Nothobranchius furzeri: one gene and its partner. The protein of the gene in region 2 interacts with the protein of the main gene of each other region in a pairwise test. Links are inferred from orthologs where the notes say so. Each region holds a gene or a part of one and is shown on either strand. Other genes may lie near its edges.

The links.
Region 1: the proteins of usp25 (region 2) and syk interact in binary tests that used the Homo sapiens proteins (3 or more experiments, as listed by UniProt). The link is inferred for Nothobranchius furzeri from reciprocal best matches to the Homo sapiens genes USP25 and SYK.

Annotation. Positions count from the first base shown.
Region 1 is NC_091746.1:36,410,313-36,415,295, forward strand, and holds the start of syk (tyrosine-protein kinase SYK), read right to left. Parts: upstream 3,133-4,983; 5' UTR 2,999-3,132; coding exon 2,474-2,998; intron 1,833-2,473; coding exon 1,672-1,832; intron 1-1,671. UniProt on the Homo sapiens protein: Non-receptor tyrosine kinase which mediates signal transduction downstream of a variety of transmembrane receptors including classical immunoreceptors like the B-cell receptor (BCR).
Region 2 is NC_091750.1:42,746,568-42,750,846, forward strand, and holds part of usp25 (ubiquitin carboxyl-terminal hydrolase 25), read right to left. Parts: intron 493-4,279; coding exon 232-492; intron 1-231. UniProt on the Homo sapiens protein: Deubiquitinating enzyme that hydrolyzes ubiquitin moieties conjugated to substrates and thus, functions in various biological processes including inflammation and immune response.

The sequences.
Region 1 (4,983 bases), on a different chromosome or scaffold from region 2:
AAAGAAAATGAAAAAAGCCAATCAGTGGATCCCTGGAAAATCAGAATTGGCAGAAAGAGCAGAACAAAGCTAACTTAGGTGTTAGCTAGCCATCTAAATTAAATGTCATCTGCCTCAAACTGCAAATCTATGGGTGTTTCTCAATGTCAAGGCGCCTTGCCTTGTGAGGCGATGTCTTGCGAGGCCAGGCGCCTTGCTTGCGAGGACACTGTCCTTTCTCGGTCAAAGGAAGGGGCAGCAGTAGCTCAACAGGTTGAGCGGATTGTCCAGTGATCGGGCAAGACACTTAACCCACCTTGCCTGCTCGTGGTGGTCGGAGGGTCCGGTGGCGCCTGTGCTCGGCAGCCTCGCCTCTGTCAGTGAGCCCCAGGGCAGCTGTGGCTACATCGTAGCTCATCCCCATCAGTGTGTGAATGTGTGTGTGAATGGATGAATGATACACTATAGTGTAAAGCGCTTTGGAGTCCTTACTCTGAGAGGCGCTATACAAGTGCAGGTCATTTATCATTTATCATTTAAAGAAAACGGTTAAATGGAACAGACTTGCATCACGTGACTGCGGCTTTTACGGCAGTCACGTAACGTCACATGACACGGGAGATATATGTATTTGTTTCAGTATAAATATATAACAAGCCTTTTACTTTTTAAATTGTGTATATGTTTATTAAATAAAAAATAAAAGTGAGTTACTACCCGCTAGCCAACGAAGCTGCAACTACTAAGCAACTAACCAACAATAGATAACTTCTTTGGATCTAAAAAATTGTCCCCGAAGTAGCTGCCGGCTTCTGATCCGCTGTCTTTTTGAAAATACTGCGGTGTATTGTGGGTAATTTTTGACCAAGGCTAGGCTACAAGACACCTCCCGTGTATCCTTGCTCTGCTAGTTAAGCGGCTAACAAACGGAGAACACACGCCTCGGTAGAACATGAACATTGGAACCGATTGGAACACGCCTTGGCGGCTCCTGATGATGTATATCCTAGGCAACCGGGGCGGGACCAAGACATCAAGGCAAGGTTTCTTGACATTGAGAAACACCCCATATCTGCATCTAACCTAAAATAACCCACCTGATTGGCCAAATGAGTGAAGGACTCTATTTGCATTGTGTGTAGCAAACGTTTGAGCTGACCATTCATAGTGTATTTGCCTGTTCTTTGCGATTTGTGTATTGAGCAAGCCGATATCTCGATGACAATACGTTTGTGATGTACTGTGCAGCCCTAATATAAAGTAAAATAAAGTAAGGCTCTCTAGCATGCACATATGACACACCAAACCTTTCAGCTACTTTCCTCTCAGTGTCAATATGATAGATCCAGGTAGAGGTTTAGCAATATTATTGTTTGTTTGGCACAAGTGGCTGCACTTCAATTGAAAAGATAATGTTTAAAGTTTAAGTATGCATGATAGGAGATGTGGAATGATGTTACCCAAGACTGTTTTCTTCCACGTTACAACACATTCACAAAAGTCATTCATGTTCATGGTTTGTTTTTTAACAAGAGGGCGACCCTGCATGCATTGGTGTTGGTTTAGATTGGTATCTGTTATTAAGTTGGACTATTTAATTTGGTATGTTGGATATCAGTAAAAAAGTCAATATCTAACATCTCTAATATTTAGTATTAGGAACATTTATTGTGAACATGGTCAGATACTTACAGGAACTTTCCATTTGTGCGGGAGCCGCACTGGAGCCGTGGCTCAGATTCCTCCCGGGTTATTGCTCCGTGGAACCAGGGCATTCGTTCATGAGCAGTGGTGGCTATGAGTTTCTCAAGCTGAGGTCTCTGGCTGATGATGGCCTGCTCAAGAGCTGCTCCCTGCAAGAACAAATATACTAATCATTCTCTAATATAAATACTAATATGATATTCAATATGCGTTTTGTAGTTGAGTTAAAATAGTTGTATATAGCCTGTTTTTGACATAGGGCCAAGGTGCTTCACAACACAATCAGTCATTCACACCCTAGTGGTGATGAGCTACAACGTAGCCACAGCTGCCCCGGGTGTGCATTGACTGAGGGGAGGCTGCTGGGCCATAGTGACGTAGTAACACCCAACTGAGTCCACACATACACACACCTTAGCTCACTGATACAGCCTGAATGTTCCAAATTGTGTTGCTAAGGTTTAAAGCATCAATGTCTAAAATCTCAGGTTTCAGCAGAAAGATGAATTCCTGCTGGACTCAATACCTGGATGAACCAGAAGTACACTTACCTGCTGCTGTGGATAATTAGGCTCTTGAATAACTACATAATTTAATGTAGAGTAAGACTCGTGGTGAGTTTATTGAATAACATCACATCAACCAAGGTGAAATTTAAGAGATTTAAGAGCTCTGAGCTGTTTTAGGACCAAAGCAACACGTTAGTCTTGTTCTCTCTAAGACCAGATACAACATCAGACTAGTTTATAGTCGATCAGTCCTGAAGGATGTAAATGCTAGAGAAACTAACCTGCAGGTTCCAGGTCTGCTTTACATACTGCCGGATGAGTTTGTCTTTCAAGTCCTCGAACGGCCCCACCTTTGGCTGCATGTTCTTGGGCCTGTTGCAGGGCTTCTTCAGCAGACACACAAGACCATCCATCTCCTGGGAATGGTAGTCAATCACATCCATGGGGGTTCTGTGGCTCTTACCACCGGCAATCGCAAACGTCTCATTGGGTTGTCGTTCAATGGTGTAGTGATAGATGCGGCCTGAGAATGAAACAGAGAGCGCAAAGCCGCCTAGATAGTTTCGGCTTTGTCGTAACAGATACAAGCCACTGGTCAAGCCTGACTGCCGCAGGTAGACCTCCGCCTCTTCCCTTGTGATGTTGCCGTAGAAGAACGGCAACGCATTCATGGTGTCCGCCATGTTGTTTTTTAGGTGCTGATGGCCTCCAAGCAGCCTTGTCACAAATTTCAGCCTCCAGCATAAAATTAATCTGAAAAGAAAATAAGAAAAATAAAATACTTGTGAATGACTTTTAATTTTCATAAATAATCCAGAGCCTCAAAACTGGAAAATCACAGAAGACGGTGGACAATTAACTGTCCAATGTTGTTTCCACTTCTTATGCCTAAAAAGGAGACATGAAGAAGGAAATAGTTACTAACTGGTCTTCTACAAACTGAGCTGAGATTCATGCAAAGAACTACAAACATGTCTGAAAACAGATTGGCACTAAGTAGCCTAACCATATCTGTGATCCTAGAGAAGGGATCGTTTAAAAAGCCACTACTTTAAGACATTTCACCTCATCCATTAGTTCTAATCCAGGGTTAGAAGTGTTGGATGAAAACACACGTTAACTAGGGTTGTTTTTTGATATCAGGTGAGTTTCTGATTCACCCTTCCTTTGGGTCTTCATCTTGTCATCACTAAATTAGATTATTTTCATGTTCAGCCTGCATGAAAATCTCAGAGTTATTGAAATAATCATTAAAAAAGGAAACCACACCTTTAAAATGCACAAATTAATTTCAGATTTAAGAATCAGAAAAAATACTAATTTAAAGGGTGTGAGCAGTTACAGTGTAGAAGGTGCAGGATACCAGAGATATAGATCCATCCACCAGAGACAAGGGAGATGAGTGAGAACCAATAGAGGACATCAACTGGAATTTGACCTTTTCAAAAATCTATTATCTTGTTGCAGCGGAGGTTCCAGACTAACATTACAGGCTCTGATTCTGTTGGTGATCGGTCAGAGGAAGAAGAAAAGATTTTTTTATAGCGTCTCTCAAGATAAAATCACAAGGCGCAGGAGGCGCCCTGGTTTAATTCATTGCTGTACATTTCAAAACAGACTTAAAGAAAGTTACAGAGAAAATAGCGTTCCATAAAGAATTTTATTTAAGCTAGAGAGACAGCTTGTTATTAACGAGAACTTTCTCTGCTGAGCTGGAGCTGAGTATAATTCATTAATACGTAATAGAGAAGAACAAGAACAACTCGGGTTTTTTTCTTTTCTTTTCTATAGCCAGACTGGTGGAGGGTCCTGCCTCTGTTGAGCCACGTATCCCTACAGCCATCAGGAGGGATGATGTCATAAAATCCTTCATAATTAAAATAACCTCAAGTAGACACTAAATTCCCATCATCCTCCACTGTTATTACTCATCATTAACAAGTTAGACAGATTTAGAAGCAACAGAAGAACCTGGTTTATGTTTCTGTCCTATTGATCTTTATCAGATGACAAAGCTTCATCTAAACCATCAACATGTCTGCAAACCCATCAAAACCAAACTGTTTAAGGAGGTTTATCTCTATTAACACCTCCATCATGAGCCTGATTAACATCCATAAGAATTAACAACCATTAAAGGTCCAAAGTGGAAAGAGTTGAGTACAAATACCTAATAATATTATTATTATTATTATTATTATTATTATTATTATAGTAATGGATTTGATTTACATGGCGTTGTTCTAGGCAGTCAAAGTGCTCACCATTATTCATGCACTTTCACACTCACACACTGCCGGTGATGTACAGGACAAATGGCAGTTATTGACCGCAAACTGACATTCGAGGCAAACTGTGAGACTGTCTTTAAAAGGGTAAATCTCATTCTGTCATAAGCAAGGGCAGCAGTGGTCTAGTAAGACAAGAAGAGCAGCAGCTGAGCCCTGTCACATTGTTTTGAAGACAAGTACAGAGGCTGGATCCATGTGACAGCTCTCATCCACAACACCATGAGTTCCAGCTCCTCTCATCTGGACACAGACACACACTCCCATGATACAGAACCATCGACATATAAATATTGGACAATGGGTTACCATACACTCCAATAATAAGTTTTTGTGCTAAAATGGGAGTGGCCACCACCGCCATTTTGACCGTGTCACAGGTTCCGTCAAGCCCAGACAATTCCACAAAAGGGAAGAGAGGTGGAGCTGAGGGTGGGGCTGTAAGGCTGGGATCAACTGACGACACCCGGTCAAACTAGATACAAGCTAACCTGAAGCTAACC
Region 2 (4,279 bases):
CTTTAACCGTTTTCACTTTTACACCGAGCAGTAGCAAGAGTCGTCTGTCACTCAGCAGGAAAACACTGGAGTCTAGTTTGCGAGTGAGAAGCATGAAGTGCAGGTTTAACTGTAGGTTTTAAATGACTTAAACGCTGATTAAAGTCTAATGTTGTTAACATGAAGGCCTTTAACTAAGTCCTGTGTTAAAACCCATTTTGCTGTTCTGATTTTGGAGTACATGACCCATACCCGCATTGTCTGGAGGACTGGACTCGATGCTCATTGGCTGCGGAGAAGATGATGACGTGGAAGTGCTGGACGCTGCGGTGGAAGCAGCAGCTGCTGAGGCCAGGTCTAACTTCTCCTGCTGGGCTTTGCGGGCCTGCATGGCGTCCCACTCCTCTACCTCCTTGTCAAACAACTCGTTGTCCTCAATCACATACCGCTTCAGGTCTGGGGGCAGTTTGTCCATGCCACTGAGAATCTGGCCTGTTTCTTTATCGAACTCCTCTGTAACAAAGTGGGAGGAGCAACATTAAAGGGTCTGCAGGAAAACATCCAAAATCCTGTAATGCGTTCTTTTAAAAGGTAGAATCAGCAATGTGCTGGATGGTTAGGAAACTTTACAGTTAGATCATGAGGGAAGAATAAGGACTGGCTTTGCAGAGGAGGGGCCTCATTCATCAAGCTTGCTTGCACACAAAACGGGGTCGGAAAACTGCGTAAGCAACTTTCCACGCAAACTTTGGGATTTATGAAAGAAAACGTAGCGAAAAAATGTGCACAACTTTAAGTTGACTAAGGAGCTGGCTTACACACATGTTGGACATGGAGAGCGCCTGCAGTGCTGCTGCTGAGAAGATACAATTATGAAATCCTGCAGCATTATCACTTGTACTGCTTCGTTTTCACACAGAACAAGACCCCCCCTACCCCACACACACACACGCAGCCTGAAGGGCAGAATACGGAATGCAGAATATCAGCAGGGGGGCAGATTGAGACAGAATGTCATGCGTGTGTGACAGTGTGTGTCCTGTCACTGTGACCCGATTGATCATGCGCCCTGGCTACATGTACAGGGTAGCTCTCCGTTTGGGTGACTGGTTAGCGTGTGCATGACTTTCACCTGGGAGTCTGGGGATCGAATCCCGTTTGGACCATTTTTTTATATCCGCCACAGATCTCTCTGAAGAACTCAGCATTGACGGCTTCAGCAACGCTGCGCCACTCCGTGGATGTTCTCTTATTTGTTTTGCAAAAGCACTTCCTTTCATTTCTCCACCTCACCCACAAGTACCTCAACTTCTGCTTCTGTGAAATAGCGCTTCGTTGATCTGCGGTCGTAATCAAAATGCTGCAAAAAGCCGGCTTATGTGTATGCATGAGATCCACAAGGCACTTTGCACTGGCCATTTATGGCAGTAAGTGGGCGTGGTGAGGGCGGGATGTGACTAAAATGCAGCTGAGAACCTTTCTAGATAGCCTCTGGTTTATGAAGTGGAGATTGCGTACTCCACGTTTGATGGATCACAAACCTACTTGGCGTAAGTACATTTTTTTTGCTGAGCTTAATTACGGTTTTAGTAAGGATTCTACGCAATGTTTGATACATGTGTAACGTGAGGAAATATGAGTTTTCTGTCACAATGGTGGTGTTGGACTCAGCTGGGTCATAGCTGGGTCGCTGAGAACTTTCACCCACAGATTAAGACCTGAACGCCAGCGAGTCTGGGAGGAAACCATAACATCTGCCACCTGCAGTCTACCAGAAGATGTGTTTACATGAGTTGTACCCAGACCAAGTCAAAACATAAAGTTTAAACTTCTTTTTCTTGATTTTAATGTTAAAATAACCATTATCATTTTGCTCATTATAAATGTGTTTAATCAAATGAATGACTAGTATGCTTTGGGGTAATTATAATGGTTTAATGAATCCATTCTTAAATAATGTTAAGAATGTGTGGTACTGACCTTCACACTCAAGCACACACACCCACACACATCTTGCCCACAGTAAACTCCAGACACATTTGATGACGCACATGTTTTGATTTGAGAAGAGAAAGGTTTTTGGTAAGTTTTCAGTCTTTGGATTCAGTTCGTGTTGGACAACGAGAGAGAACAGACCTGAAAACCAAAGGGGGGGCAGAGCCTGTTGGCTCGTTCTTCCCCCCTTTCACGCTGTTTCTGCCAAGCCAGGCAGAATAGCTGAATCGCGACTTCTAACGAAGACTCATTACCGAGTCTTTTGATTTCTGAGTGAATTAACTTAAGAAAGCGCATCGATAAAACGCTCTACCATCCACGTGTACCGAGGGCAACTCTGGACCGGTTCCGTTCGACACCTATGTCTCCTGTCAGCCGCCGGTGTCATCTGGATGAACCACAACATCCTCCACGGCCCGGATCCGAAAGAGGGTCCACAAGAGTTCGGTGAGACAGAGCACGGTTTTAGCGTTTGATGCAGTTCTCTGATAAGACCTAAGTTTATCCAAACCATCACTTCACTCAGACACCTGTTTCTTCTTGAAGCAAAATCAGACTCACACACGCATTCATGTCACAACATTCTCAATCTTCATAAATTCACCAGAAGGTCTATTTGAGCAAGAACAGCATATAAACTGTTAAAAGATTGTCCCACAAAGTTGCCAATGTGATTGTTATTTCCTGTTTGTCAATTTTCAAAATCTCGTCTCTCGTCTCGTCTTCCTCCGCTTATCCGGGTCCGGGTCGCGGGGGCAGCATCCCAACTAGGGAGCTCCAGGCCGTCCTCTCCCCGGCCTTGTCCACCAGCTCCTCCGGCAGGACCCCAAGGCGTTCCCGGACCAGATTGGAGATGTAACTTCTCCAACGTGTCCTGGGTCGACCCGGGGGCCTTCTGCCGGCAGGACATGCCCGAAACACCTCCCCAGGGAGGCGTCCAGGAGGCATCCTGACCAGATGCCCAAACCACCTCAACTGGCTCCTTTCGATCCGGAGGAGCAGCGGTTCTACTCCGAGTCCCTCCCGAATGTCCGAGCTCCTCACCCTATCTCTAAGGCTGAGCCCGGCCACCCTACGGAGGAAACTCATTTCGGCCGCTTGTACCCGCGATCTCGTTCTTTCGGTCATTACCCAAAGCTCATGACCATAGGTGAGGATTGGGACGTAGATCGACCGGTAAATCGAGAGCCTGGCTTTCTGGCTCAGCTCCCTCTTCCCCACGACAGATCGGCTCAGCGTCCGCATCACTGCAGATGCCGAACCAATCCGCCTGTCGATCTCCCGATCCCTCCTACCCTCACTCGTGAACAAGACCCCGAGATACTTAAACTCCTCCACTTGAGGTAGGACCTCTCCCCCGACCTGGAGGTGGCAAGCCACCCTTTTCCGGTCGAGAACCATGGTCTCAGATTTGGAGGTGCTGATCCTCATCCCAGCCGCTTCACATTCGGCCGCGAACCTACCCAGCAAGAGCTGAAGGTCAGAGCTGGATGAAGCTAGGAGGACCACATCATCCGCAAAAAGCAGAGACGAGATTCTCCTGCCACCAAACTCGACACCCTCCACACCACGGCTGCGTCTAGAAATTCTGTCCATAAAAGTGATGAACAGAACCGGTGACAAAGGGCAGCCCTGGCGGAGTCCAACCCTCACTGGGAACAGGTCCGACTTACTACCGGCTATGCGGACCAAACTCACGCTCCTCTGGTAAAGGGACTGAATGGCCCTTAACAGAAAGCCACCCACCCCATACTCCTGGAGCGTCCCCCACAGGGTGCCCCTGGGGACACGGTCATAAGCCTTCTCCAAATCCACAAAGCACATGTGGATTGGTTGGGCAAACTCCCATGCCCCCTCCATCACCCTTGCAAGGGTATAGAGCTGGTCCACAGTTCCACGGCCAGGACGAAAACCACATTGCTCCTCCTCTATCTGAGATTCAACTATCGATCGGACCCTCCTCTCCAGTACCTTGGAGTAGACCTTTCCAGGGAGGCTGAGGAGTGTGATCCCCCTATAGTTGGAACACACCCTCAGGTCACCCTTCTTAAAGATGGGGACCACCACCCCGGTCTGCCACTCCCTAGGAACTGCCCCCGATGACCACGCAATGTTGTAGAGACGTGTCAACCATGACAGCCCTACAACATCCATAGCCTTGAGATACCCAGGACGAACCTCATCCGCCCCCGGGGCTCCGCCGCTGTGTAGTTGTTTGACTACCTCAGCAACTTCTGCCCCCGAGATCGGACAGTCCATCCCCAGGCCTCCCAGCTCTGGTTCCTCCTCGGAATGCGCATTGGTG